Linked DNA regions of Diceros bicornis minor. The protein of the gene in region 2 purifies or fractionates together with the protein of the main gene of each other region. This does not show direct contact. Links are inferred from orthologs where the notes say so. Each region holds a gene or a part of one and is shown on either strand. Other genes may lie near its edges. The genes, in order: TFRC, ERBB2, ACSL3 and ATP1A1.

Region 1 (7,018 bases), on a different chromosome or scaffold from region 2:
CAGGTACCAAAATACACTTTCACCTATGTATACCATACCCAAAGCTTCTGCTCCATATTACCTAAAATAAGAATAAGCCACTTGTTTGTTACTATTGACAAGTCCACTTCAATTTAGAAAACAGGCCACAGTTTCAAGTCCTTGGAGCTCACATAAAAAGAAGTTCCTCTACCTGCTTCTGAGGTTCGGTTCTAGAGACCTTCACTACCTAATAATTCACTGCCCTCTATTTTCTTCAAAATAAGACAGACTATAACCCCTGCCTTTACCCAGTAACATTCTTCCTCTCTTCTTGAAGTCCTACTCATCTCTTCCAGGTTCAGCTCAAGGGCCACCTCCAAGAACTTCTCTGACTAATTTCCCTATAATACTTGACATGGAATTATGTAGTAATTAACAAAGAGTAAAGATATTTTATTTCTTAACGGTATTGGGGCACGCTTAATGTATATGAGGTTCATTTTTCATATCATTTGGAAATGATACAAAAGAGAATATAATGAAAACCCTGGACCTGGAATCTTTTCCCATCCCTGCCACTGTTCTGGTTTATCCTGAAATACTCTCTCAAACAACTGGTTACAGATACCCCTTTTGCAAACTATTTCCCCAGGCAACTATGGATTTGCAGGTGAAAATGAAAAGATTACGTAAACTTACAAAACTTCTGCAGGGCCCTCAGAACTCATACTTGTGTATACACAGAATGACTTCTAAAGAGACAATCAATGTCTTCCCTAGCTTTAAGAGTCTAACTTTATGGGCCTAAAATGAAAAGGTAGTGGAGGAAATCAAGGAAAACAAGCGGAATCTTCATTTCCATTCAGCTTTCTGAAAGAAGACTGCCCAACTTGAAGGTCAGGAGCCCTTGAAGTCACGGCAGCCTTATTCATGCCTATTCATGTAGTGCTCATCTGGGGGAGCAGACAGAAGGCACCCCCACAGAAGAGTTCCAAAAGGCCTCAGAGGATCATTTTTAACTAGCTTTCCTTGTTGTCTGATTCAAATCTAGCTGAGAACCATTATAGGTAAGTACATTATCAGAGGCAAATAACTGCCTCGCCTTAGGACAGTTACCCAAGTTGTTCATCCTTATTCAACAGTCTTCAGCACAGGCTAGAAGCCCACCATTACTTGACAAGAACACTCAAGCAAAGAAAAGTTAAAGGGTGCTACGCTATATACAGACTTTGGAAAATATTTCATATCAACAACAAAAATTTTTTAACTCTAGATTTTCTTGTGAGGCACACTGAGTTTATTATAATCCAAAACTGAGGGGAAAAGCAGCAGGACCAACAAGTACTTTAGATAGTCTAAACTTAATTTTCACAGTAGAAAACTGGAAATCACCTTACACGTCTTTGTCAATAAAGTCAAAACTCCCCAGCTCAGAGACAAAGAATCAGCATCTAGTATTGCAAATTCCTATCTAAGCCTAGAATAAAGGTATCAGATATCCGAATACTTCTGTAACAGGACAACTATTTCCTACTTCAATCCTGCTCCTACTCCCCCTAAAAAAAAAAAAAAAAGAGGGGCTGGCCTGGTGGCGCAAGCGGTTGGGTGCGCGCTCTCCGCTGCGGCGGCCCGGGGTTCGCTGGTTCGGATCCCGGGCGCGCACCGACGCACTGCTTGGCAGGCCATGCTGTGGCGGCGTCCCATATAAAGTGGAGGAAGATGGGCACAGATGTTAGCCCACGGCCGTCTTCCTCAGCAAAAAAAGAGGAGGATTGGCGGATGTTAGCACAGGGCTGATCTCCTCACAAAAAAAAAAAAAAAAAAAAAAAATTAAAAAAAAAAAAAAAAAAAAAAAAAGACAAAAACAGGAAAAGCAGCAGCAACCGAGTTCCCTAGTATAACCAAGATTACTACAAGCAGTGAACAAAGTGAAAATGTTAACCGAAAAGAGTCAAGTCACAAAAACATTTTCTTACCCATTCTCCCCACTACCACCTTAAGAGAGCTGACCACCAGAAACAGTGACACCATGGGCCTCTAAGGCGTTTGGCAAGAGAGCACAGCCCTTTGACCATATCGCTAATTTTCAATAGCTTTTAGCCTCTAAACCACAGCTTTCACAAAGCATCAGTCTTATTCATATGGTCTCCCATTTTACAGTGAGGAGAGCCTAGCAGTCCGAATATTCTTAATGTGAACACCGGCAGCGTTCAGTCCGCTTCTGACTTGGGAAAACTGAGAACCCACACACAAGGCCAACGGGCGGCATGAAAGATCAGGTCGTACCCGCGTTCAAATGTACAGCTTACAGAATCCCCATCTAAATGCCAGGACACACTCGTAACCGAATCGAGGACAGCTGGTCCCTGTCAGCAGTGAAGAGACCTGGGCGCGAGCAGGACTCGAGGAAGCGAAGGGCTAGGAGCTCAAGGTGACCCATGCACCTGAGAGCTGTAGGGACGCTCCCCGCAGCAGCCACGTGCTCTCGCGGGCCCGCCAATGCGGCGGCAGCGCGGCTCGCCCGGCGCGGACGCCTCGCTCCCGAGCCCGCGGCCTAAGGCTGTCCCAGCAGGACCTGCATTTTTAATAAGGGCCAGCTGGCAAGAACAAGGGATGGAGGGTGGCCTGAGGAGCCGGAAGCAGAATGGCGGGGCACAGAGCGACAGCCGCGTGGCCCTCATCTCGCCCTCAGAATCCTACGAGAGAAACCATTCGCCGCCCGCCACCGAGCCCAGGAGGGCGCAGACAGGCAGAGAAGGAAGGGCAGCCGCTGTCCGCGCCGCGGCTCCACCCCCTGCACCTACAGCCCGCTCCTCGCGCCGCCGCGGCCCCTTCCCCGCCGGCAGGCGGGCCCCGCTCCATCCCGGCCACCCCACCCGGAGGCGCCCCGTGGGCTGCTGGACAGCTCCCAAGGGGGCCGCAGTGGAGACCGCTCGGACCAGCCCTGCAGGCGGAACGGAGGACAGGAGGGTCGGCGGGGTTCTAACAGCGGCGCGTCACTCACAGGCGACTCTCCCGTCCACCCGTACCCAAGCCGCCACCAACCGACGCAGACGCCTTCGCAAGCACACTACCTCGACCGGCCGAGCTCGTTGCCAGGTGGAGCCTCTCCCGACCCCTCCCACTTGCGTCACTTCCGCTACGTGCACCAATGAAGAGGCCTGGGGGAGGGTTGCGCATGCACTCAAAAGGAGACCGCCCCCTAGAGCGCGGGGCAGGATGGGGCGAGGGAGGGAAAAGGCGCCAAAGGCTGTAAAGGGCTGGGCTGCTGCTGTGCGACCTGGAGCCTCCTGTCTAACCTTGACTGATCTCCAGACTCTGCAGTGCAAGGTCAAAGGTGTTAGCGTTTACTCCTAGATGGTGAACACTTACACTGAAGTAATTCCTTAAAGTGTATGTCCTTGATGGAATATTAGGTAGCCGCTAAAGCCATGTTGTGGATATATGTTTTGCAGCCTCAGAAGTATTTAGGATAGGGGCCCGCCCTGTGGCTTAGCGGTTAAGTGCGCGCGCTCCGCTGCTGGCGCTGGCGGCTCGGTTCCGATCCCGGGCGCCCACGGACGCACCGCTTCTCCGGCCATGCTGGGGCCGCATCCCACATACAGCAACTAGAAGGATGTGCAGCTATGACATACAACTATCTACTGGGGCTTTGGGGGAAAAATAAATAAATAAACTTTAAAAAAAAATTAAAAAAAAGAAGTATTTAGGATAGGGGAGTGGCCTAAGTTCGCGCGCTTGGCTTAGGTGGCCCGAGATTCGCAGGTTCGGATCCTGGGTGTGGACACACGCACCGCTTGCCAAGCCATGCTGTGGCGGTGTCCCATATATAAAGTAGAGGAAGATCAGCACGGATGTTAGCGCAGGGCCAATCTTCCTCAGCAAAAAAGAGGAGGATTGGCAACAGATGTTAGCTCAGGGCTGATCTTCCTCACACAAAAAAAGAAATACTTAGGATAAGCAAATAGTTAAAAGAATGAAAAGCAAAATACAGATTTGTATGTAGGATGTGTAAAAGCTGCACAGGAACCGAGATCGGCACAGTGCTTTGCCTAGTGTTTAATGCATGAGGGAATGGAAGGGAAAATAGAAACAAGTGATTTATTAGGGTGATAGAATTGTAGCTGAACTTTCATGTTCTTTGCCATTAGTGTTATTGTAGGATTGTGCAATGCATAACAAATAAAATTGGATTCTTGTCACTTTTTAAACGCTTTCCAAACATTCGCACCCTCTCCCTCCCTCCAGTCGGTAACCTATAGTCCTGAGAAGGAGATTAGACAAATTTGCACACAGCTACAAACGACCGGGGCCTTAAAAGGGTTACAGATAAAGCGCTTTCGGGGTCAGAGTCCCGAGGGACGCGGAACGGTCCTTTAGAATGCAAATCAGTTTTCAGGTCTCGGGCTCCTGCTCCTTCCTCCATTCCGTGCTAAAATAGGGGAAGTACACGGGGTCCGCCCACCACTTTTCTCTATCTCTGTTCCCTAAAATCTCTCCCCAAGGAGATATATTTAAAAATCTTAAAAGCAGGAGCATTGCTGCACGTTAGTGGATCGGCGCAGGAAAAAACTAAAGCCAGGAATGGAATGGATACGGATTAGCTATGGAGGGGCCACCTTGAAATTCAGACGATAGGCGGGCTGAGTCCCCTCTCCCTTTCCTTGACTGGTGGGATCTTAAAAAAAAAAAAAAAAAAAAAATCAGTGGTAGTTTCCAGGTGAAACTGAAAACCACGTGGAGAAAATGGGCTTAGGAGAGGGAGGTCAGGACAGAACCTATGGAAATCCAAATAAAAAAATTTACTGTCACTCAAATGAAACAACAAAGAGGACACTACTTTAAAGAGTGTGTCAGTTATATTTTTATATTTTTGTTTTCATGCTTTTATTAGTAATAACGGACACTATGCAATTAAATTCCCTTGTCTATCCCTTTCTTCCTAGTAGCTTTGCAAGATCTCCCTCCTCTGCAGTTTCAAGTAGACGAAAATAAATTTGTCTTGCTTTGTTGCAGAATCTATACATACTGAGCAATTTTGCTTTGTCTGGTATTCCATACAAATGTTCAAAGATTTTGTTTTTCTCCTCTAATTTTCTTTATTGTTGTTGTTGCCATTCTTACATATAATTGATGAGAAATTTTCACATATTGATGTGTATGGGGTTACTATTCGGGTTCAAAACTGATTCAGCTAGGGCTGCCCTGTGGCGTGGCGGTTAAGTTCTCACGTTCCGCTGCTGGCAGCCCGGGTTCGGATCCCGGGTGCCCACCGATGGATCGCTTGTCAGGCCATGCTGTGGCGGGGTCCCATATAGAAAGTGGAGGAAGGTGGGCGCGGATGTTAGCCCAGGGCCACTCTTCCTCAGCAAAAAAAAAGAGGAGGATTGGCGTGGATGTTAGCTCCGGGCTGATCTTCCTCACCAAAAAAAAAAAAACTGATTCAGCTAGAACTAAATAAGCCTGGTTTATGGCCTGTCCAACATACATTTTACATCTGCTTTAACCGTTAAAGTACAGAATTCACTGTCTTAAAATAAGAATGCATACTTCCCCTCCTATGCCCTATTGGTTAATGCCCTATTGGTAACTCCCTTATTAGTCCCTTTTATGACATCAGGTTCATGTTGACCTGCTAATTTGCAACTAAATACCTCTTTGAAACTTTGATGAAAATGTATCCTGGGTGTGTTTCATGTATGTTCTTTGTTCTAAAAGTGTATAAGACTGTACTGAAAACCATGCTTCTGAAAGTTTTCTTCCTTTCTGGAAAAGGCCTTCCTGGATTATAATCCTTACCCTGGCTGAAGTAGAACTCACCTTATCTCTCTTATCTATAGAATGGTTATTGGTTATTTTGCATTGAAATTTCTTAATGGTTATTGGTAATTTTTCGTCGACACCATTAGCTCCCACTTCTGGAGACCCAGTAACTTGGATGCTTGCAATGAAATAAGTTTTTGGTACCTTTATTTAAACTATAACTGAAATGAGTGTTATTCAATTTCCAGCCTTCCACAGACTGTCACAGGTACAAGAGAGAACTTTTGCTGCTTGCCCCCTAAGATCAAAATCAAAACATACACCTCTTACCTTGGTTACAGGAATCTTGGAGGAAAAAAAATGGGGTTGTAAACCCACACCTGCAAGATGATGCAAGTTGGGGGTGGGAAGTTTTTAGACAAAGGCATTTAGTACTTTGTCCCTTACATTTAAAAACATTATTCTGTTTATATTATGTATATTTTATCACAATTTTAAAAAAGTACATTAATCTGTCACCTCAGTAATAGAGGATCCAGAACCATTTGCTCTTTCTGGGGTCCTATCTGTGGCCCAAATGCTAAGTGGGGTTTCTTAGGCCAGCATTTCTCAAACATTTTTTTGTGTGTCTGTGTGAGGAAGATCAGCCCTGAGCTAACATCCATTGCCAGCCCTCCTCTTTTTGCTGAGGAAGACCGGCCCTGGGCTAACATCTATGCCCATCTTCCTCCACTTTATGTGGGACGCCACCACAGCATGGCCTGACAAGCAGTGCGTCAGTGCGCGGTGCGCGCCCGGGATCCGACCCGGAGAACATCGTGCCGCCGCAGCAGAGCGCACGCACTTAACCGCTTGCGCCACCGGGCCGGCCCCTCTCAAACATTTTGACTGTGCTCCATGGTAAAATGTCCATTTTACTTCACAATTCAGTATACACATGTGTATGTGTGTGTGTATATGTGTATATATATTTATGTGTATTCACACAAAACCGAATCAAAAGTTTCATGAAATAATACCCTTGCTGTGTGCAAAGCAGTCTGGAATTTTCTATTTATTTTTTTAGATGCTGATTTCAACCCATTAAACTGATTTCTCAATGGGCTATGACTGTTTGAAAACCGCAGTCCTAGGCCATCTCCTTTCTCAGAGCACACGTCTTCTTAGTGAATAGGACAAATGACTTGATCAAAGTTAAATATCAACTACCAAGGTTTCTCCCTGTTACTTTGCCCACTGTTTCAACTTGTTACCACCCTACACTTCAGCAAATATTGATTGAGGTTTTATTATT
Region 2 (7,555 bases):
GCACATGAGTGCTTTCTATCCTGGCAAAGCAGCCTAAGGAGAGAGGAGGAAAACTCCCCAGGCCTTGGGCCTGCGTTCCTTTTGTTTTTTTGTGAGGAAGATCAGCCCTGAGCTAACATCCAATGCCCATCCTCCTCTTTTTGCTGAGGAAGATTGGCCCTGGGCTAACATCCGTGCCCATTTTCCTCTGCTTTATGTGGGATGCCACCACAGCATGGCTTGACAAGCAGTGCGTCAGTGCACGCCAGGGATCCGAATCTGCGAACCCTGGGCCACCGAAGCGGAGCGCACACTCTTAACTGCTACGTCACCGGGCCAACCCGGGCCTGCAGTCCTGAGATGGGGTGAGAGGGGCTGAGGGAGGTGATTGGCATGCCCAGTTTGTCAGTTTGGGCTCTGCTCCTTTGCTGACCCTAGGCCCTGGGAGTTGGCCTCCCAGTGGTTAAGTTGCAAGTGTTCTTAAAACGCCACCTTTATGAAGGACAGATTTTCTTTTTTTTTTTAAATTTTTATTTATTTTCCCCCAAAGCACCAGTAGATAGTTGTATGTCGTAGTTGCACAGCCTTCTAGTTGCTGTATGTGGGACGCGGCCTCAGCATGGCCGGAGAAGCGGTGCGTCAGTGCGTGCCCGGGATCCGAACCTGGGCCGCCAGCAGCGGAGCGCGTGCACTTAACCGCTAAGCCATGGGGCTGGCCCAAGGACAGATTTTCTTATCAGAAGCTTCCAAATTACTCTCTTGTGGCCCCAGGGAGGCCTTGTGCCTACTCTTGGGGGGACTCTTTCTAAGTAACTAATTCATATAGACACTTCCCCAGCAACCCATGCCCTAGACTCGAGGCCTGTGGGGAAGGCTCCAGTTTGCGGCTTAGACCTCGGACTGTGAACCGTCTCCTCCCTTTTTCTGTTTGTTTTCAGTCCTCTGACCCCAGGCTGGCTGGTGAGGTAGGCAGAGGGGAGGAGACTCTGGTGCCAACACACACAGACACACACACACAGACACACAGACAGACACACACACACACACACACACACACACACACACACAGAGTCTTCTGTGCCCCCCAGTCTTAGTGGCTGGTCAATGATTGACTGGCATTTCACAGGCCGCTGGTTCCAGACCTCAGCCTGTTGACCATTAGAGGTCACCTCCCTAAGCCAGAGCCCCTTCCTGACTCTTGAGTGCCGGTGGTCACCTCCACTGCCCTCAGGCCCAGTACCTGTTGCACAAGGACCTCCTCCGGCAGGTCTCATGCCTCTGCCCTCAGCCCCTCGGTTCACTCTCCTCTGTCCTGCAGTCAGCCCTCTCCTGTGTAGCTGTCTCCCTCTCCCCAGGCCCCTCACTGGACCCTTCTGGCAAACTCTCAGGCTCTTCCAGCCACCCGGCCATCCCCCCCCACCCCAAGGTCCCCCCCCCTCAGCTTTTGTCCCTCAGACATCCTCTTTCCTTGGCTCTCCTGCCAGGCCCTGCTGGAGGGGCAGTTGAGGGGAGAAGCAAATCAGCAGCGCCCACCCCTGCCCCCCTTCCTCTCCTCTTGTCAAACACCAGACAAGGTTTTTTCCCCTTCCTTCCTGGCTCTGAATGGGCTCATTCTCTTTGGGAGACTTGGCCCCTCTCAAGCCTCCTCCTGGGGCGTGAGTTCTGACCCCCGCTCCCCCCTCATCCCCACTCCCGCTGGCTCCACCCTCTCTCTGCAGCCCACTAGGACTGAGCATTGTCTCCAGTCTGGGTTTCCTCCTGTGATCCGGGATGTGGAGAGGGTGGGCTTGTCTTGGCGGGGGCGGGGGTTGGAGGGGGAGGAGGGATTTTTGTGGAGCTAGGAACCAGCAGTTACCTTGATTTCTTGGAGGACCCCCCTCTGGTTCCCCTACAGGGGCCCAGGGAGAGGGTGGGTTCATGATACCCTTGATTTGGGACTCTGGAGCATAATGGATGAAGCCAAAGCTTCATGGCTCAGTTCCCGTTACCTCGGAATCTCGGGGTTCCTCTTCTGCAAAATGGGGAAGATAACACCCCTCTTCTCTGACACCCTGAGGCCTCAGTAAGATGAAGAGTGTCTCTCCAGGACGGAGAGAGTGGTGCAGAGTGAGAGTCCCGTAAAGGATGGCACCACTTCCCTGGCTGGATGAACTCTTCTAACACAAGAGCAGGGGAAGGTGGGGCCTAGGGGAGAAGTGACATCTCTAACACCCTGACGGTCTCTTGAAGACTGCATGTGCACGTGCCTGGGTGCAAGCACTCTACTATGTGACTGCAAATGACTCTTGGAGCCAGGTCAGCAGTCTTCTTTCCCCGCAGGGCTGAGAGGCACCTTGACTGGGTTCTGGCCTGTGTGATGGGTGAGGGTGAGGGGCTGGTTCTGCTGGCTGTTCAACTTTTCCCTCATTAGCCCTGAGATGGAAGGTCCTGGGAAAATTGGTTAACTCTCTTGAGCCTCCATTCCCTTGACCCTCACTCTAACTCTAACTTGAGTCTTAGAGAAAACAGGGGTATTGATGTCCATCCTGAAGGGCTGCTGTGTCCCCAGACACAGCAGTATTTCTTTAACGTTCATGACCATGATCCAAGGAATAAATCCATTGTACCTCATCACACCGGACACACATGCCCTTACCCACACTCACCCTTACTACACGTGAGGATGTGATGCGGATCTTTTCTATTCCATTCTATATCTTGAAAAAAAAAAGACCTGGGCCAGCCCCGTGGCTTAGCGGTTAAGTGCGCGCGCTCCGCTACTGGCGGCCCGGGTTCAGATCCTGGGCGCGCACCGAAGCACCGCTTGTCTGGCCATGCTGAGGCTGTGTCCCACATACAGCAACTACAACGATGTGCAACTATGACATACAACTATCTACTGGGGCTTTGGGGAAAAAAAAGGAGGAGGATTGGCAATAGATGTTAGCTCAGAGCCGGTCTTCCTCAGCAAAAAGAGGAGGATTAGCATGGATGTTAGCTCAGGGCTGATCTTCCTCACACACACACAAAAAAAGACTTGACTTGATCACCTAAATTGGTTTCATGACTGACCTTCTAATAGAACCTGACCTGCAGTTTGAACATCACTGGTTAGAGCTGGAGGAGGACTTACCAGGGTGTTAAGAAAGGGTAAGCTTCAGGCCCCTCATTTGCATGCATGTGTCTGCTTTTGTATTCATAACTTTGTATTCCTCTTGTTAAAGAGAGTCCCCCAAATTTCATAAGCTTCAGGCCCCACAAAACCTGGATCTGTCCAAGTATAAGAAAATCTGAGACCATGTATTAAGCAATCACTATGTGCCAAGTACTGTGCTGAATGCTTCAGGAGCATTATTTCCTATAATCCCTAGCACAGTATGCCAGATGGCTATTTTACAGGTGAGCAGACTGAGACCCAGAGAGGCTCAGTCACTTGCCCAAGGTCACACAGCCAATAAGGGGTGGAGTTGAGATTTGAACTCAGGTCATTCTGATCCCAGAGTGCCCTGTTCTCACGTCCCTACTGTGAAAGTGCCCGCCTATAACCATGATAGGAATATGGAAGCAGCTTAAGCAACGCTAGCGTCCTTCACTCTCCAGTCCCCAGTAGGTGCCTCTGATCCCCTCTTGACCAACACAGGCGTGCCCTTGGCTGAGGCATTCCAACTAGAGTTGCCAGATTTAGCAAATAAAAATAAGGATGCCCAGTTAAATTTGAATTTCAGATAAACAGAGAATAATTTGTTAGTATAAGTATGTCCCATGCAATATTTTGTTGGAATTTCCAACAAAAACATGCCTTCCTTCCATCGCCCACCCCCAATCCCCCCCCCACCCACCACGGGGCCTTAAGAACATGGTCCGGGGCTCCCGGTGGAATGCAGGGCGGGGAGGTGGAATTGAGCAGGCTAATAAAAGGCAAGAGACACAGAAGAAACCCTGGATGTATGGGGTGCTGAGTGCCCCGGTAAAGAAACACAAGGGATATTCTTGGAAGGATTGAGATGGAAGTCTCTCCAATTTGACTCTCTCTCCCCCAAACTTGTAGACCCCCTTAAAACCACGCGTTTCAGACTGAAAAAGATACCTAAGAAATTCGAAAAGCTACGCCAGGGAGTCCCGGAAGCCACCAATGAAATACACCACTATTGACTAGCAATTTTACTTAAGGATGCGGTGGGAAAACCATTATTTGATATGAAAACAAGGCACGCGATGGAGTAGGATGCAAACTCGCCAGGAATGTTTACGATAAAACCTGCGACTTAAAAGAGAGTTAAGGATGTCAGCCTAAAGCATTTGCTCCAGACTCCTGAGGGAGGGGTCACGAGCACCCTCCTCTCCTTTTGGGGGTTCTCCTTGGGAACGGGTGAGAACTGCTGCAGGCAGCCCGAGCGTCCGGGCGCTGGGAGGGACGCACCCCGGCCTGCGCCGAGAGAGGGAGAAAGTGAAGCTGGGAGTTGCCACTCCCAGGGACTTGCTGGAATGTGGTTGGAGGGGGTGGGGGGGGCGAGTTGTGAGCGCGCTTGCTCCCAATCACAGGAGGAGGAGGAGGTGGAGGAGGAGGGCTGCCTTGAGGAAGTACAGGCATGAAGTTGTGGAGCTGAGATTCCCCTCCATCGTGCCCAGAGAGCCGACAAGAGCCCCCCGAGGCAGCCGTCCGCCCCTTCGCAGGGTGCCCTTTCCGGCGCCGAGCGCCCAGCCCCCTCCCCTCGACGCGCCCGGCGCCCTCCCAGCCTGGTCCAGCCGGAGCCATGGGGCCGGAGCCGCAGTGAGCACCATGGAGCTGGCGGCCTGGTGCCGCTGGGGGCTCCTCCTCGCCCTCCTGCCCCCTGGAGCCGCGGGCACCCAAGGTGGGTCTGGTGTGGGGTGGGCATTGAGCAGTGACGGGACCCTGCAGCCTGGGACCCCCGTGGAAATCCTCGGGCCGGCGGGGGCTCCCCGACCCGAAGTTTCGGGCAGTCCAGGCGCTCAGAGCAGCCGGCCCCCGGCGGGGAGGGGGCAAAAGAAGGTGGGACGGGGGGTAATTACACCAGAGCGGCTCTAGATGTCCCATTCAAGGGACTGGCGCTTTCCAGACTCCGCGACGGCTCCGGGAACTTGTCAAAAAAGTTCTCTGAAATTGTTCAGAAAGTTTTCCCTCAAAGGGTGTATTGCATGGTGTGTGTGCGCGTTCGTGTTCCCCCTTCTGAGCCCCCTCAGGCTTTCTCAAAGCCTTTCCAGTTGGCAGCCTCCGCCTCCAGACTGGACTGAGCTGGATTTCTCGGGGGTCTCTTCTGCCTGCCCCTCCCCCTGCCCCCCCCTTCGGCAGATAGGGTTTAGTTACTCCAGCTTCGGACAGGATCGGGGTGTGGAGGGGGGAGGTGGGGAAAGCAACCTGTCCAGCCGGAGCCGGGGAGGAGAGAGGCCAGTCGGACTGCAGAGTTGCCTCATGCTGGAGTCGGGGATGGGGGGAGGGGGAGGCGTTTGTTTTGAACAAGTTTTCTTTAGGGCCAGTTTGGAGACTGTGTGCTTTATGACTTTTGGAGAGCATGGGCCCCGGAGGGGTGGTGGTGGGTTTCCTGGTCTGGGGCTCAGAATGGGAGAGTTCTAAGGGAGGGATTTCTGGGCAGTTGGAGGCGGGAGGGAGGCTAAGAAATAGGACGGGACAGGGGTATGCGGACGGCTGGGTTGTCCTGCCTTTTTCTTCACGCTGTGTGTGGGGAAGAGTTATGGGGGGGCAGGGTGGGGGCAGTGTGTGTCCTGCCCATCTGTCCATCTGTATGCAATAATGATTAGAGGTAACGTGTGCTGGGAATATACTCTGTGCCAGGCTCTGTGCAGGTGTTCTGCATGTGTTCCCTCCTTGAATAGAACAACCCTGTAAGAGAAGTCCTACTAGTATTCCCATTTTCCAGGTGAAAACCTGGACTCAAAGAGGTTAATAAGTAGCAGAGAGTAAGTGGTGGGTCCCAGATTGGACCCCAGGCAGTGGGACCTCCAACCACACATTCGAAATCACTGTATTAATCTACCTTGAACAATGGGGGACGCTGCTCCCTGCATCATGGGGTTCTGGGGAAGACAAAATGAGAGTGTTCTGGAAGTAGTGGGTGGTCTCCATAGGTCGAGGAGTCTGGAGAAGGGGTGGGTGTCATCCTGTCTGTGTGTTGCCCGAGGGTCCTTCTGTCAGAGCGTTGCTGTGTTATCTGAGGGGCTTCTATGCTAGGGTGTTCTTGAGTTGTGTGGTCTGTGTGTTTGTGTGTTTGGGCTTTGTGTTGCCAAACAGCAGTCTCCATGCTGACTTGGGGACTCGGCTGAACTCTGCCCTCTCAAGGAACTCCCTCAAGGTGCCGGGCCAGAGCTGCTGTAAACAGCAGGAGGTGGCCCCACACCTTCTTTCCAAGGAAGGAGGCTCCTCTTTCTCGGGAGCCCATCCTTCCCCTCCCTGTTTTCCAGGCGGGTATCTTCACCCCTGACCTTCTGCGGAGAAGGGTGAGGCCAGGCTGGGCTTTCAGGCTGAGCTGCTGCCCTCCTCACCTGGGCCTTCGAATTGAGCAGGTGGAGAGTAGCCGAGTTGCTGGGACCTGAGGGGTCGGTTCTGCCACCGATGACCCGGGCCTCCTCAGGTCTTCCTCACCCCTCAGCCTGCACTGCTAGGTTGTGTGTTGTGCAGGGAATGGTTAAAATGGCAGCGCACCACCCAGCTGCCTCTAGCACCCCCATTATATCCCAGGGCTAATGGCTGCGGCAGGAATGTGGGGGAAGGGGAGACAGAAAGGCCCAGAGGGTCAGCATTTCCCTGGGATCCTTTTTTAGAGGTCAAGGTTTTGTAAAGTGCAACAAACACATCTTCTTTATCTTGCAAAGCTCATAGTTTAATTCCCATATGATTCTCCCAACAGCCTCCTTCCTTCTTTTTACTATACTCAAGGAAAGTAACCTCATTTTAATATTCAGGGAAAAAATGATTGAAAAGATAGGATGAAATGCAAAAAGAGAATTACTCATACTCCTGCTGTATGAACTTCCCAAGCCTTAACTTTTAAAATATATACAGCGTGCTTCCTGTGTGCAGGTGCTTCTCCATTACGGTTTCATTTTCTGTCTGCAACAATCCTGTGAAGGAGGTACACAGGTGAGAAAACTGAAGTTCAAAGAAATGAGGTGACTCACCCAGGGCTTCCCAGCGACCCAATAATGTCCAGGGCATTTTTGTACTCTAATGAGGAGGTGTTAAGGGTTGGTCAAAGTCTCGTTCCATGTCCATCCATACAGGAATGGGTTGAGCGAAGCCTCAGGGGCAGCCAGGTGGCTGGACTGGGGGACAGGTGCCACTCTTACTCAGGTGAATGAGCTCCCTTATCTGGGCCATAGAAAGTGGGGTGAGTGGGGCCCCCCTGAGGTCCCCTCTAGGCTTCAGAGTCCTCCCCCTCCCTGTTCAGCCCATGTCTGCCTTCCTCTTGGACCCTCCTGGCATTGCAGGGGGCTGAGGGCAGGAGCGGGGCAGAGGCCAGTGGGACCTGCAAGGCGGTGGGTGAGGGAGACAGCTGGAGTAGAAGCATGAAGGACCAGTGTGGGGCAGGGGTTGGGGGCTGGTGTTGGGCCCAGGTAGTTG
Region 3 (7,623 bases), on a different chromosome or scaffold from region 2:
CTCCTCGGCAAGCTGCTCAGGTTCCTCTCCCCAGCGCCATCCCAGGTCTCCTCGGTTCTTATTCTAGTCTCTCCACAGGCAATCTCACCCACGTCCACGGTTTCAGCCGTCACCTCGACACTGATGACCCCAAAATGCTCAAGTGTAATCACTCGACATCTCCTCCTCCTGCCCCAAATACCATGAATCACCATGTCTGGCAATTTTACCTCTAAATCTCCATTTTCTCAATATTTCTGCTCATGATATAAGGCTCTTACGAGGATCAAATGGGCTAACAGATAACAGTGCTTTGAAAAAGCAGGGAGGGGCGGGGAGGGAGGAGTTCCATCGGAGTACTAGTACTCATTAAATTGAAATCTCCTTGAAAGCAGAGACTTTACCAAGTTCTTTTTATTTATTCCACATGGCACACCTAGTGCAGTGTTTCGCATGCAGATGGCACACAGTAAATATAATACAATGAATTATTCGTATTGGCTTAGTACACGTTCAACTGAAATATTCACATATTTAACAGCTTATATTTCCCAAACCAGCTCATCACTTTTGTCTCCTAAGGGGTGAGAATTTTAAATAAAATCACTCTGTTAAATGTAAACTACACTCGATACTTTTGATAATTACGATGCTGCTTCTCGAAAATTCGAAAAACCTGTCCCCTCTTTTGGCCTCGCTTTCCTGAATACATTCTAATCCCATTCCCAAGTCCAGATCCCATATACAGATTCTTGCTTCTCAAATGTTCATTTTGAGAGAGGAAAATTTAAGTATTACAGGAATAATTAAGTACCCTGAAGGCAGGCAGAACGACTGCTTGAAAATGATCCCTATCTTGTTGTCGTATCTTGTAATGTGCCCGGGTGTGACATTCAAGGTAGGAACAGACATTGTGAAATGAAAACAACATTGTTGCTCAAAAGTTTTCACACTCTTGCGTTATGCACATTTAATCACAACTCAGAACGCAAGATTGTCATCTAGCAGAAGCTCACCCTATCAATTCAAAACACTCCCTAGACTAGATTTCCATCTAAATCACAGTCCTCATTATAATCTTCACTTACACGCTACTTTCCCTTCACTGCACATATCATAACTTGTAATCACATATGTATTTGGATGACGATTTGCTTCGTGTCTGTTTCCTCCGTGAGGGCAAGGATCACGTCAATTCTGTTTACTGCTCTATTCCCAGCTCCTGACGTGGTACCTGACATATAACAGGAATTAAAGGGCTCTAGTTGAGCAATTAACTGAACGAGCAATGAACTAGTCATTTCAGCAGTACCAGACAGCAGGGAAGCCCTGAGAAAGATCTCGAGGCTTTAAGATCTGACCCCCCTAAACCAGACAGAGCATGATCTTCCTCTCATAATTTCTCCATCCTTCGTTTCTTCCACACTTCTCTCCTTCCAGGACATTTTAGACTCACGGAATATTTCAACTTTAAACCACCCAGTCCAAATGTCTTACAAATCCAGTAACAAAGACACTAGATCACTTGTAACCTTGACCCTTACATCCAATGGCCCTCTCTGCCCTACACCCAACCACAAGACCATCCAACAGAACCAAACCTTTTTACAGCATAAGAGAGAAACCAGGAAAAGTCTAAAGAGACAATGCCAGAGTGACTAGAAAGGCCTTACTCATCCCTAAGGGTAAGAACTGCTTGGGAAGATGCCAGAAAACAGAAGAATAAAGTCTGTGCAACAGACTCCCACGTCACAACACCGCCTCCCTGTAATAACCTTCTAATACACTTTCAGGAGCAACTCAGCAGCCCCTTCAACTCGGGGAACTAATCTGGAGAAACAACAAAGGTGGTGAGGATCATGACCATCAAACCACAGTGCTCCTGGCCACCCAAACAAGAATCCACCGTGGCAACTCTCCAGCCAGCCAGCAAGGAGAGGCGAGGCAGCATCATAAGTGGTTAGAAAGACGAGCTCTGGATTTTCACACAGGCCGGCGTCTGAATCCCAGCTTCTCCTGAGTTGCTGTGATCTGGGGAAAATGAACGTGTCCACATTCCTCTAGCGGTCAAACGGGAATAATCACCACCCTGGACGGCTGTTAACAGTATAAAGAAACCACGCATAAAGCTCTTAGTACAGTGCACGGCATGTAATCAAGACTCAATAAATGTCAGCTATTTGTCATTTTATTCAGCTTTAATCACTTGCACAAGGCCTATCCCCTCTCTAGCTTCCATATAATTTTAAAGACTGTTCCATCCTTTCTATTTTTGAGGGGCGATATATACAATAGCTTAGAGTATCTGTATACCAATGCTACAACCGGACTGGGCAAACCAGTCAACGGCTCCGTGCCTCGGTTTCTCAGCTGTGAAATGGGTCTGATAAGGACCCCACAGGATGGCTGGTAGTAAGCCCTCCCGCGGTGTCACCCATTCCATCACTGGTGTGTAATTAACACGCACTGAGGGGAAAGTCAGTCTTCAACTCTCGCCCCCGCAACAGTCTTAATCCCAGCCCTGCCCCCACAGCTCGTGAGGCCACGACACACACCAAGGTCGCCCCGTCGCACACACCCGACTGCTGCTCACACCCCGCGGCCACAAACACCCCCGCCCGCCCCTGCTGCACGGTTTTCCGAAATCGCAGGGCTCAGCTCCCCCCCAGGGACCGCGTCAGGGCCGATCTGCCGAGGCGGCCGCCCCCCCGGCCGCGCGCCCCCAAAGCGCCGGGAGGGACCCCGCGCATCCCTCCTCGCGCGGACGGCGCGGCCGCTCGGGCTGCGGCTCCCCGCCCACGTGGGCCCCGCGGCCGAGGCCCCGCGTCACCGGGCCCGGGCGCCGCTGCCCACGCTGCGGGCCCGCCCGGCGCGCACACCCCCGGGGCCCCGGCCCGTGCGGAGGCCGCCCCCGCCGCACTCACCGCGACGCCGGGCCCCCGCGCTCCCGCCTCGGGCCCACGCGGGCCTGCAGCGCCCCGCGCCGCCGCCGCGGCCGCACGGCCAGAGGGCGACGTCCGCTGCCCCGCCGCCGCCGCCTCGCCCACCCGGCCACGGCGACCACCCGGCGCCGCAGCCAGCGTCTGTTGAGCCGAGCCGCCCGGGACGCGCAGCCCGGCCGGCGCTCGTTGCCTACGCAGAGAGGCCGCCGCCCATTGGCCCGCGGGCGGTGGCGCGTGCGGGGCCGGGCCTATCGAATTCCGGCCGGGAGCGCGGCGCAGGCGGCGGGGGCGGGGCGGGGTTACTACGGGTCATTCGCCGGAGCCGCCGCGGTCGGGCCCAGCCGCAGCCGGCGGGGGCGGGGCGGGGCCGGGGGGCGGGGCGCCGGCTCTGCGGCCGCGACGGGGCTCCAGCGGGGTCTGCGGGACGGCCGCCCCCCCCCAAAATCTGCAAACGCAGTCATTGCTCTCATGCATAAATCTCAACACAGATCCTGAGATAATATGCATATTATTTTCATTCTGCACTGGATTCGGTATCCTGTTCTTGCACACGTTTCTGTCACGTTTGGTAAAATGAGATGATTTTTGGAAACGCCTGGTGCGAGAGGGGGCTCAAAAATCCAAAGCATGGTCCTTTATTATTTCTCTTGTTTTAGCTTCACCTAACCCAGCAAATAACCCATCTCGCCTAAATGCACTCACTATTTATACCAGTTTGGTATTTGTTTTCGAAGGATCAAGTTTACTCCAAGTTATTGGTTTTGGACGTTCTTCTTATGAATCTAAAGTGTTTTTATATTTTAAAGAGTTGGCCATTATACCCCATTTTAGACACTACAGAAGGGAGAAAAGTCATCCAGTGCGGGTAGACTACCCCTCTACAAGAAAAGAAACAAACGAAAAAAACACAAACACAATGACTAAAACAGCAGCTACAGTGCACTATAAGAAAGATGGCTTTCATTACCGCAGTAATAGTAGGATTGGGCTCTATTTTTTTTTTTTAAGCCAACATATTATTTAGTCGGTCTGTGAACGAAGTTATAACATTAAGTCAGATTTGATACCACAAGAAATAAAACTGATTTGGAGGGTTTTGATTTTTTTTTTTTTTCCGGTAGTGAGGGAGCTAGGAATAGCTACTTGAAATGAAAATCTCCATGCGATGCAAAACTTTTAATTCGGTGAAAGGTGACATTTATGAGCCAGCCTCAGGCTAAGCAGGGGCTCACTTCCCAAGAGAATCTGGAAATCAGCGGAGCCGCCTGAACTTGTGGAGTGATGATCCACAGAGCAAAGAAAGCTCACACCCCTTGGGCCCCAGGCCAATTCAGCTACCTAAAGGAATGGATACCTGACTCAGGGAACCTACCTTTCCACTAGAAAATATGTTTGGTTGCTCGCTTATCTGCCGAAATGCTATCAGAGGATACACCTTGAAGATGAAAGGAATGCAGAATGTCTTATCTGAAAAGCCCGCCACCATTCTGCATGCAGAGGGAAGTATATTTTAGAACTGTTAGTTCCAGAACCATGAAAAGCCTCCAGAAAAAATAAGTAATTCCCAAGGGAGGAAAACCGGTGTTGAACCTTTTTTTCCCATCAATAAGCATAAAGCAGACTAGTAGAATTCCAGCAACATCTTAATATCTTTCTATGTTGTAAAATATATATGGGTGTATACAGACATACATGTATATACGACATTTTCAAAAGAAAATATTCTTTGGAATTAAAATTCTAAATTCTCATCTTGTTTGCTGAGGCTAAACAGAAATGTAATATTTCTAATCTCTAGATGTTTTCTTACATAAAATAATACATCCACAGTTGCTTTTCTTTTAGAAAGGGTTTCAGTATATTTTTATTTTTGTTTAGAGCTTTTGAGAGTTTTGGAATTTGGCTGCATTTTCCTTCTTTTTAGAGAAATTCAATTCAGAAACTATAATGGCCAACTAAATAAAAACATCCAGCCGTTCCTTTTATAGTTTTGTTGTTTCTCCAAATTACAGGGGCATTGAGAGGAAATGTCTTTGTAATTCTCATGAATACCTAAGGATCTGTTTCATGTGAAGGGTCGCAGAAACAGTCTGTGACTGTATAGCAAACTACTACTAGCATTTTCCATCATCATTATAATGTAAAACCAGGACCAGCTGATGTTTAAAAGTTTAACAGAACCTGTTTTGTTCTTTCATTTCTGGTGGATTGAGCAGCGGGGAGAGCTGAGGTGGCACATTAATGTTATATGTTTGAGTTACGATGGCTCTGGCTTCAAGGCACAGAACGTTCAAAAAAAACAGCTTAAATTATGATATTTATTTTCCTCACATAAAGATAGCTCAAGAGGCAGGGCAAGTCCAAGGTGGATCCAGGGACTCTGCCACGTCGTTGAAGACCCAAGCTTTTACCATCTTTCACTCTGCTAGTCTCAGCCCATTAGTTTTATCCTTAAGCCATCATAGTCACAGATGGCAGCCGCAGTTTCCAAGTGTCACGTGAAGGCACAACAGCCTCTGGCCAAGGAATCGGGGCATGCTTCCTAAACGCCATGTCTCGTGTGTGTGTGTGTGAGGAAGACCAGCCCTGAGCTAACATCTGCTGCCAGTCTTCCTCTTTTTTTTTGCCGAGGAAGACTGGCCCTGGGGCTCACATCTGTGCCCATTTGCCTCTGCTTTATATGGGACGCCGCCACAGCATGGCTTGGCAAGCGGTGCGTTGGCGCACACCTGGGATCCGAACCTGCGAACCCCAGGCCACTGAAACGGAACACACGCACGTAAGCGCTATGCCCGTGGGCCAGCCACCCTAAACACCGTTTCTGATTAAGGAGGAAACTCTTTCTCAGAGAGCTCACCACAGATTGCTCCTTAAGCCCCATTGGCCAGAATTGAGTCACATGTTCACATCCTAGCTGCAAGGGAGGCTGGGAAAGCGTCAGCATTTTCGGCCTCTCTAACGGAAGATAGCTGCCATCAACACAGGAGGGGCCGTGGGAGGGAACGAATGTGGGAAGGCCCAATCAGCAGTGTCTGCCATGCATATCACCTAAAAGTACCCATCTCTGACTAAAAGGGGCTTAAACAATAAAACCATCTGTTATCTCACTTAAAATGTCCAGAGGAAGGCAATTCCAGGGTTGCTTCAAAGGCTCACTGGTGTCATCAAGGACCCGGCTCCTTCCGTCTCTTCACTCTGCCATTCTCAGTGTTCATGTTCTCCCCCCTCATGGTTACAAGATGGCTGCAATTGCTCCAAGCATTATCTTTACGCAATACACGCAAAGCCAGAAGAGAAGAGCAGCTTCTCCTACATGTTGGCATGTGTTTACTGGGGAGCTACGTCTTACCAAGAAAACAGCATCATCCTCAAGCTGGGTCTTTAAAAGTTCTATCAGGCAGCATTTATCTGTGATGAAGTCCGTGGCAGGACCCATGGGTCCTGTAGTCACGTGTTCATTGTTGCTCCTCTGCTGTAAAATGAGGCCCTTGGTGGCAGACCAATATTATGCAAGATCCCATGACGGCAAATCAGACACTCTGTGAGCCCTCGGATTGTGGTGCTGGCCAGGCTCAATGGGCAGGGATGGCAAACTCTTCCCCGGGTTATTTATCGGCCCCAGTGAGGATGAATCACTGCCCTACACAGTGGTAGAGAGAAAGCCCTGAGCTGCAGACTCACAGGTGCCATCAGCCTATGCTGGGCACGTGAATGCCAAGGGTCTATGTGCAGGGCGCCCACAGCATCCGCTACAAGGGGGCAGTCAACAGTGTCTGCCATTTGTCCTTTTGTTAAACAAAACCGGAAGGTATTTCAAGGAATTTCCCAGTTACCGAATTGCAAAGAAAGAATCAGGAGAATTCTAAAAGCCACTGTGTGTCCAAATCCTGTGGTCCTGTCTTTCTAGGAAATCCTTCTTCTCAACACAGGCATCAGCTTCAGGAGGGTTGTACATGGTTGACCATGGGGTGAGTCATCACATGGGACACCTCATATCCACTCTCAACTTTATAAAGATCTCCACCGACTGAGATTCTCAGTCTCAGTGTCTTCAGTGAGACTGGATTGCATAAACACTCTATCAACACGTTCTTTCTACAATTTAAGGTGATTTAATTTTGTTCCACTTTAGTGATTAAGAACCTACCAGCCTCCCTTTAATAGCACTTCACCTTCATAAAATACTTGATGAAAGTCCTCTCTTACTTTTTCTTTTCCAGGCTAGACAATCTTTTTTTAAAAAAACTCTTTTCCAAATGACCTATTTTCTATCCCTTTGATCATTTTTTTTTTCTTGAGGAAGATTGGCCCTGAGCTAACATCTGTTGCCAATCCTCCTCTTTTTTGCGGAGGAAGATTGGCCCTGGGCTAACATCTGTACCCATCTTCCTCTACTTTATAGGGGACGCCGCCACAGCATGGCTTGATGAGCAGGGCGTATGTCCGCGCCTGGGATCCGAACCTGCAAACCCCAGGCCGCCAAAGCAGAGCACACGCTCTTAACCACTATGCCACACGGTTGGCCCTCCCTTTGATCATTTTTATTGTTCTCCCTTGTTCATCACTTGCAGTATAAAACAGAATACCTAAGCTTTAATGAGAGTCTGATAATTGTAAAATATATTGAAAGAATCTATTCCCAGCCCTCACCCCCCAGAATGCCATTAAAATAGCCTAAAATTAATTAGTTTTTTAAAGTAAC
Region 4 (7,659 bases), on a different chromosome or scaffold from region 2:
GTCACTACCCATAAACTATGATTTATTTTCTAAGTAACTAAGTTAATATTCAAACAATGGAGAACTAAAGGGAAGGACCTGGTGACATGCCCCCGTCCTCCCCCCGCCCCCCATCTTTTGTAAACTTAAGAAAAGGAAAAGTTTTCGTGTGTACCTTTGGTGAGGGAAATAGTTGTGGGTGGTAGGCCTGGCTGTGGATTTAAGCCAAGTCATTGGCAAAAACACCCACTATGAAAAAAAGGACAAAATCCTATTTCATCCAGGAATGATTCAGCAGGAGCTGTTCTTTCAATTTCTTACCCAAAGCTTAGAAACTAGATTTTTAAGGAGAAATAAAATCACCTGAAATATCATTAAAACCTAGGCCCCCAATGATAGTGGGAAGAGGAGGGGAAGAAATTAACAATGACCTTAAAAATGAGCTGCCAGCACAGGCTTCCTCGTTAACCAATTATCAGCAGGGCCTTAGTCACCACTCCACCCACATTTTAATCCCCATGTGGAAAAATACCAACATCTCAGCATAAAATATCCTTCTGAACATTTGGACTATCACAGTAAGTCACTGGGGACAAAAGGGGTAACTTTATCCTGGGAGAATCACCACCACTTATACACACATACCCCTTAACGTTCAATTTATCATAGTACCCAAAATACTGACTACAACCCAGCAGATAAGCAGCATAGCATCCCGTGTTACCCAGCTGTCATTCAATTTTGTGTTTGCTAGCCACTGAACATTTTATTAGGATCCATTAGACATCTTGGTTGAACCTCCACAACCCAGGTGTGTTGCTATCTTTACCACTACTATGCATGTATGTGGTTACGAAAGAGACATAACAGACACATACACATAACTTACTCAAACATCTCTCTGGTCCATTAATTCAACCTCACAAATACCCCAGTTTCATCTGAAGAATAACTTGAGAGTTCTCCACATAAGGCAACGTCAAGGAGTGCGTGAGTGCTCAGGCTGGGGAAATCACAGGCTGGTTAGGGACGTCTGGTGTGTCATTAACTAACCATTTGACCTTCAGCGAGTCACTTCACCTTCCTAGGCCTTGGGTACATACCTGTGATCTCTACATCCCCCCAAATCAGTAAGGTCCAGCTCTGGAAACAAACTTTTTTTTTTCTGAAGGGGGAGAAATAAAGGAATGAGCTTTAAAGAGCTAGTTTAGGAGAATGATCTAGTGTTTGACACAGTGGTACAAGCACAGGCCACTAACCCAGTTTCCATCCTGGGGAGTACAGAGGCTGGCACTCAGCTCTTTGCCTTCAGCTACTTGACCTGGGCCAGCCCTCCCTCCACATTTTGTGCTTTTAAAAGATACCAGTCATACATTCCCACTTTTTCCTCTCTCCCCACCAGGTCCAAGCCTTTCAAGTACCTCCTTCAAAATCCATTTGGAGTCCCCAAAGAATGAACCCTCCCTCTTCCCCATCACTCACTCCACCTTGAGGAGCCCTAAGAGCCTTCAAAGGCCTACTAAGCACCAGGCACTGTGCAAGAGTTGGTGATAATAATGGAGTGGATTCTCTCTTACCGGTATTCTCATGGCCCCGTCATTTTACCCCACGAATTGATACTTTGGGGATTATTTTGTATAAACTTTTCTCAACTAGACGTTGGCCCCGGTGGGGTCCGGGACTCAGTCTTCTGCCTTGGCTATGGGTTATCACAGCTCCGAGTTACAGAACTGTAGGAACGAGATGTTGTTCTGGTATTCCCACAGCGCTCCTGCACTCTCCTGTCCCGGAGACCCCTCGTTCCTTCGGGAACCGTCTTCCGCGAGCTGGCACTCTTACCACCGCGTACTGCCCGCCACCTCCAGTCCTTTTTCGGGTTTATTGTACCCAGAGGCCCTGGGGGGCTAGCCTGTCTTCCTTCCAGGCTCATCCTTCCAAAAAATTTACACACCCCTCCCCACCGCCAGAATGACCGCTCCAGTCGCCCGGGCGCATCCTGTGTTTATGGCCAGCGTTCCATCAAAGCTCTCAAAAGTATACCTTAAAGGCCATCTTAGGGCAGTGAAGACACACCCTTTCTGGCACCAGCCCGCCCAACCGGCTCCGCAGTAAGGGGAAACTAATTTTTGCCTTGGAGGGAGGGCGGCCGCCTCTACGGGGGAACTGGCTAAGCCCCCGCGCCTGCAGGAGAAGGAGCCTCGGACCCCAAGGCCGCCCCCGCGTCGGAAGCCCGGGCCGCGGCGGGAACGGCGGCCCGGGAGGGGGCCGGGCTGAGCGCCCCAGGGGAAGGGGAGGAGCACGCCTTTCGTCCGGGCACGGAAGGCGGAGGGAAAAAGGAAGGCGAGAGATGGGAGGTGAGAGCGGGCGGAGGGAGGGGAGCCGGGCTCGGGATGCGGCCGCCGGCGGCCGTTCGCCCTCCTCCCGGCCCTGCGGCTCCCGAGCGCCGCCTCCAGGAGCCCCGGGCCGCGGCGCGCTGCGACCCGGGGGCCCGCAGCCCCTCTCCCGGGGCTGCGCACCGCCCCGCGCTGCCGTCCTCCGTCCCCTCGGCGCTCCCTGCCCCCGCCCGCCCGTCCCCCATTACTGCGCTCCCTCCATTTCCAAAGTGCGTCGTCTTTTAAGCCTCGCCGCTCTGCCAACCCATTCCGCGCCGCGCCGCTTCCTCCTTCCCCGCCTCCCGCTGGCTGCAGTCGCCCTCCTGACTTCCTCCTCTTTCTCCTCCTCCCCTCCAGGACTCCCTGCGCCCCCTCCCCGGCTCGCCGGACACTCACCCCCTTCCCCATGGTGGCGGTGGTCTGTGCCCGGCGCCGGGTCCTGTCGCTTGAGAATGAGAGAGAAAAGAGGAGAGAGCTCCCGGCCGAGCGAGCCCGGCCGGGGGAGCCGAGAGGAGGGAGCGAGGGCTGCTGTGGGGCGGGAAGGAGGGAGGACGGCCGGCGGCTCGGGCCGATGCCGCCGCTGCTACTGCCGCCGCCGCCGCCGCCGGGGTTGCTACCACTGCCACTGCCACGTGTCCGCCTCCTCCCGCCGCTGCTCTGCGCCCCAGACCCCGCCGCAGCTCGAGCCCGCGCCTCCGCCTCGCTTCCTAAAATATGCAACCTGCGTGCTGGCCCCGCCCACGCCGCGGCACGTCACCGTTGCCGGAGCAACCTGACACCGGCCGCCGGCCTGGCTCCGCCCCCGCCCCAACCCCATCCCCGGGCTGGCTGCCGCTGGTCTGGGCTCCCGGCAGGAGGGCGCCGGGCCCGGGGCGCGAGTGCCCACGGCCCGGGAGGCCCCGGCCACGCCACTGCGGGGCGCACCGACTGGCTGGGCAGCGGGGCCTCGGCGGCCGTGGAGCTGCCGCGCCCCTCCTCCCGCCGCTCGGCGTGACCGGCCTGCTTTGTAGGGCACGGAAGGTCCGCAGTGGGTGCGGATACGTTTTCGGAACGGGGCTCCCCGAATCTCCGCGGACCCAGAACAGAAACCTCGCTCTGAGGGGCCTTTCTAGTGCATCAGGGAGCTCCTCTGCGACTAAAGGACGCGCCGGGGTTGGGGGTGGGGGGCTTCGGGCTTGACTGCAGCCGGCGCCCGCCTGAGGGACTCCGCCTTCCTGCAGAGTCCAGGCCCCGTGCCCACCTGCAGATGGCCTCCCCAGCCTCTTGGTGCCCTCCCGAATGCCTCCTCCAGTCTGGGATCCGCGTTACCCACTTCCCGCTCGGCCCCAGGAGGAATGGGTCTGAGCCTTGCCCGAGGTCCCAAGCGCCCCCCTGCTTTCCTTCAAGACCCCAAATGACAATCCAAAGGGTGTCCAATGAATTCATTGAAGCTACAGTGAGAATGAAACCTGCTTGTCCAGTTTGGGGATTCGCTTTTTAGGGGAGGAACACTTGAAATGTAAAGGAATGCGTATCTTGAACAAAAGGGACAGACTCGAAGGAGAGAGGTTTGAGGACCTGTCTGGTGCTTCTCCATGCCTCCCACTCGCACAGCAGCGCCTCTTTCAGCGCAGAATTGGGTGCTCTGAGGGACCTGGGCCTGGAGTGTGATGACAAGGCCAGGAATCCCCCAGAGAGCCCTGGCCCGGCTGCGCTGTGGGTCTTGCCTCCCATTGTAGTTTATGTTTCTTAGCAGAGGCTGCAAGTGGCTGAAGGTCTCCAACATTTAGAAAGCTAAGTATTACTATTATTGCTTGCTTTCAGGAAGTCAAGTATACTTTGGGAAAACATAAGATTCGCTCCACGTCTCTGAGAAAGTCGCTCCAAGTCTCTGGGAATTCCTACAAGAAATAAGGAAAATAACTTCCTAAGCAACTTAAAGCTGGCCCTATCAACTCTATTAATTTAACATGAACAAATAAAGATGTGAAGCTTGAAAGAAATGGGGAAGGAAGGAAAAAAGGAAGGAAAGAAGGCAGGAAAGAAAAGGAAGGAGGGAAAACTAGCAACTGTGTTGTCAGTTAGAACATTAGGGTGATTTTTATTCCTTTTTAGAAGAAACTGTTTCTTACATGTGTGTCTTCCTCTTGTCCAAGAACCCATTGTTAGAGGCTGGTGCCTCCTCCAGCCATCTTCAGGCTTGATTAAATCAGTCCAGGCCATGAAGAGCAGAGGAATTGGAAACTGGATTCGAATTTGTGACTGCTGGAGAAAGAGCCCCCAACTCCAGAGCAGAGTGCCCACCACTGCTAATTCAACAGAAGGCATTTGTAGAGTGTTATCAGGGCTCTATCCCCAATGGTCTAGAAAATGCTTTTTTTATATGCTGGTACAGCCCCTGTTACTGCTAACCTGTAGGAGGCTTTCGCTTGCCAAAGGTCCCTTAGCTTGTTTAAGATTAATCATCCCTTGGGCCCTGGTCTGAACAGGAAAAGTGCAGCAAGAACAGCAACAAAATGTAGAAAGCAAAAGTCTGAACAATGTCGATTTCTCCTGCCAGGTGATCCCCTTTTTTTCCCTTCATAAGTAAAATTATCATTTTTTCATTCAAAAATATAACCAGATAGATCAAGGCATTTCCCTTTGTCTCTAGAGCTGTTTACCTGGCAGCTGACGATTGCTGAAGGTCCTTCCAGGAGGACCTGAAAGTTCTAGCTATGTTCCAGAGTAAGGAAGAGACACAGAAGTATAAGAAATATTAACTAAAATCTGTATTTGCCTTTGCCTCCACTTAGCACTTTTACATATAAAATCCTCTTGGATTCTCACAAGTCGGGAAGGTAAAGGGCTTCAGCTGCATTTTACCGAGTGGGAAACTGGAGACTCAGGGACTCAACCAGTGACTGGGGGAGTCTGGCCTCAAAATTACAAAACAGGAACCATCTTCCTAGCTCTGAAGTTTGGTCTCTGAGCATGGCACCAAGAAAGTTTTGGTGGGAGAATAGCAATTGCTATTAACATTGCTGTCCTCACAAATACAGAGGGTTTCCACATGGCTCTCCTCTTTTATAACCAAGAAGACCTCAGCTAGAGCCTTTCTATTTCCACTCTTCATCAGTCTATTGTGTGTGTCATCGTCAGGCAGAGAACCATTATTTTATAGAAATGCCCTATATGGATCTACAAACACTTCCCCCACCCCTATTCTGACCCACCTGATCCCACCTCCAGAGGCAAATCCCATTCCATTTTTAAGGTATTTGATAATGCCATTTTATGTTTCAATCCTATTGAAAAAAACAGAATTCAACAAAAACATTTCAGAATATCAGAAAGGGCCTTGGTATTGATCCTCTAAAGTTGATGCTTTCTCTTAGCACTGCGCCCAAGTGCTATGGTCTCTGCACTTCTGGGCAGTCTTCAGGGGTGTTTTCAGGGGTAAAGGTTATTGCCATGACTTGAAGGCTAATTGTAAGAGGTGAAGAGAAAAAATATGGTAAAGAAGCAGGAGTTGCAAACTTTTGTGGGAAAGAGTGATGGAAAGAATCCCTGCCTGGTTGTAATATGGAGCCCTGGACAGGCCTGTGGAATTAAGACAAAGGGACGGCATCACCAGGCCTGGGGTGCAGAAATCTCAGATGCAAGAGCATTCCCTTGGAACATAGGAGACCAAAGTGGGAAAAGCCCTTTTCTTGGGAAAGACTTGTTTCCTCCTCTTGGGAGAGGCTTCTGAATGGAACTTGAGAGATCAAACACTGCTCATTTTACAATGAAGAAACAGGCCCAGAGAGTGATTGGCACCAGATAGTTCTAGGAGAGTGGTAGAACTTTTGTGCACCTTTTCGAACATCCAGCACAGTGCAGGGGATAAACAGAACTTCCAGAAGACAGGATGGGGCAAGTTCTGCCTCTCCGATCTATCTGCCTCTTATCCCATCAGCTTTCTTTTTAAGCTCCTAGCTTGGGGCACAATTAAACTGATTGACCCAGAGACTCAGCATTTACAGACCCCACGGCTGCCAAGTGTGGATGGCTTCGAGGAGGATTTGACACAAGCATGGAGGGTTGGGCCATTCATTGTGAATAGAGTCAGCAGATGTATGAAAAATATGATGCAAGTCAGTATTTTGAGCCAAGAATCCTAGCACTTTGAGTAAGTACTTGCTGAATTGAATAAACACGCCATTGCAATTAAGGGCTTTAGAATATGAATTGGAGCCTACACCAAGTTAGCATTTTCCATAAGAAGTAAAAATTTGGGAGATCAATGAGCTAAGGATCTAGAAGGACAGAAGTCTTTGCTCCAGCTTGCCCTAGAGCTACTATGGAAACAATCTTAAGCATGCATCTTTATCTTTACTATTTCTTAGGTACCCCGGAAAGTCACTTAGCTGCCCCATTCTTACTGCATTAAAGCCAACTCGTCTCACCATCCCAAAGTTCCTCCTAGCCCAATGTCTATCCCACCATTGCAAATCTATTTTTTCCTGTCCAGCAACAGACATATTATCTCCCACTTTAAAAGCACAGTTCTAGGCACACCACTAACCATCAAAATCTGTCAGCTAGGACCCGGCCTGGCCTGGTGGCATAGTGTTTATGTTCACACACTCCACTTCAGCGGTCCAGGGTTTGCAGGTTCAGATCCCAGGCACGGACCTACACGCTGCTCATCAAGCCATGCTGTGGCGGCGTCCCACATACAAAATAGAGGAAGATGGGCACAGATGTTAGTTCAGGGCCAATCTTCCTCACCCCTCCCACCCCCCCAAAAAAAATCTGTCAGCTAAATAATTCTGAACCCTTTGTAACTTTTCCTCCCACATTCCATTTTCTACTTCTTAATTTACTTTTAAGACTCTTTAGTACTCTTCTAAACATACTTTCTTCTGTTAATGATTTTTGAAGACCTTGGGTCTTGCCTCCGGAAATTTAGAAAAGTCACATTTACTTGATGCCTGTCCTGGGGGCTATTATAAACTACACAGGGTCAAATCCTCAGTCTTTTCCTCAGCATCCCTTTAACACAACTGCCACTTAAATAATTTGCTCTTATTAATAGCAGTCTTTGTAAATAAAACAATTATAGAGGATTCTTTAGTTGTTCCCCAAGTGTTTTACACTGGATCCTGAAATTAAGAGCCAGGATTTGGTCTTCTCTTCTAGCACTCTCCCTTTATACACTTCTTCTACTCCCCTCACTCCAATTCCAAATGCTATTAAATGCTGCAAGATCCTGGCAGGTAAAAACTCACCATTTGTTTTCTACAAATCAACAACCACTGGGGCATTGCAAGCAAAATTAAATGGCAACAAAGATAAGGTCTGA

Evidence for each region.
Region 1: the proteins of ERBB2 (region 2) and TFRC purify together in Homo sapiens (affinity purification with mass spectrometry; 3 studies listed by BioGRID and IntAct, with this or other methods). This does not show direct contact. The link is inferred for Diceros bicornis minor from reciprocal best matches to the Homo sapiens genes ERBB2 and TFRC.
Region 3: the proteins of ERBB2 (region 2) and ACSL3 purify together in Homo sapiens (affinity purification with mass spectrometry; 3 studies listed by BioGRID and IntAct, with this or other methods). This does not show direct contact. The link is inferred for Diceros bicornis minor from reciprocal best matches to the Homo sapiens genes ERBB2 and ACSL3.
Region 4: the proteins of ERBB2 (region 2) and ATP1A1 purify together in Homo sapiens (affinity purification with mass spectrometry; 4 studies listed by BioGRID and IntAct, with this or other methods). This does not show direct contact. The link is inferred for Diceros bicornis minor from reciprocal best matches to the Homo sapiens genes ERBB2 and ATP1A1.

The regions. Positions count from the first base shown.
Region 1 is NC_080754.1:27,158,741-27,165,758, forward strand, and holds the start of TFRC (transferrin receptor protein 1), read right to left. Parts: upstream 3,022-7,018; 5' UTR 2,966-3,021; intron 1-2,965. UniProt on the Homo sapiens protein: Cellular uptake of iron occurs via receptor-mediated endocytosis of ligand-occupied transferrin receptor into specialized endosomes. Endosomal acidification leads to iron release.
Region 2 is NC_080757.1:39,359,112-39,366,666, forward strand, and holds the start of ERBB2 (receptor tyrosine-protein kinase erbB-2), read left to right. Parts: upstream 1-4,524; 5' UTR 4,525-4,738; coding exon 4,739-4,811; intron 4,812-7,555. UniProt on the Homo sapiens protein: Protein tyrosine kinase that is part of several cell surface receptor complexes, but that apparently needs a coreceptor for ligand binding. Essential component of a neuregulin-receptor complex, although neuregulins do not interact with it alone.
Region 3 is NC_080776.1:12,674,465-12,682,087, reverse strand, and holds the start of ACSL3 (fatty acid CoA ligase Acsl3), read right to left. Parts: upstream 3,008-7,623; 5' UTR 2,904-3,007; intron 1-2,903. UniProt on the Homo sapiens protein: Acyl-CoA synthetases (ACSL) activates long-chain fatty acids for both synthesis of cellular lipids, and degradation via beta-oxidation.
Region 4 is NC_080743.1:48,793,433-48,801,091, reverse strand, and holds the start of ATP1A1 (sodium/potassium-transporting ATPase subunit alpha-1), read right to left. Parts: upstream 3,011-7,659; 5' UTR 2,760-3,010; coding exon 2,748-2,759; intron 1-2,747. UniProt on the Homo sapiens protein: This is the catalytic component of the active enzyme, which catalyzes the hydrolysis of ATP coupled with the exchange of sodium and potassium ions across the plasma membrane.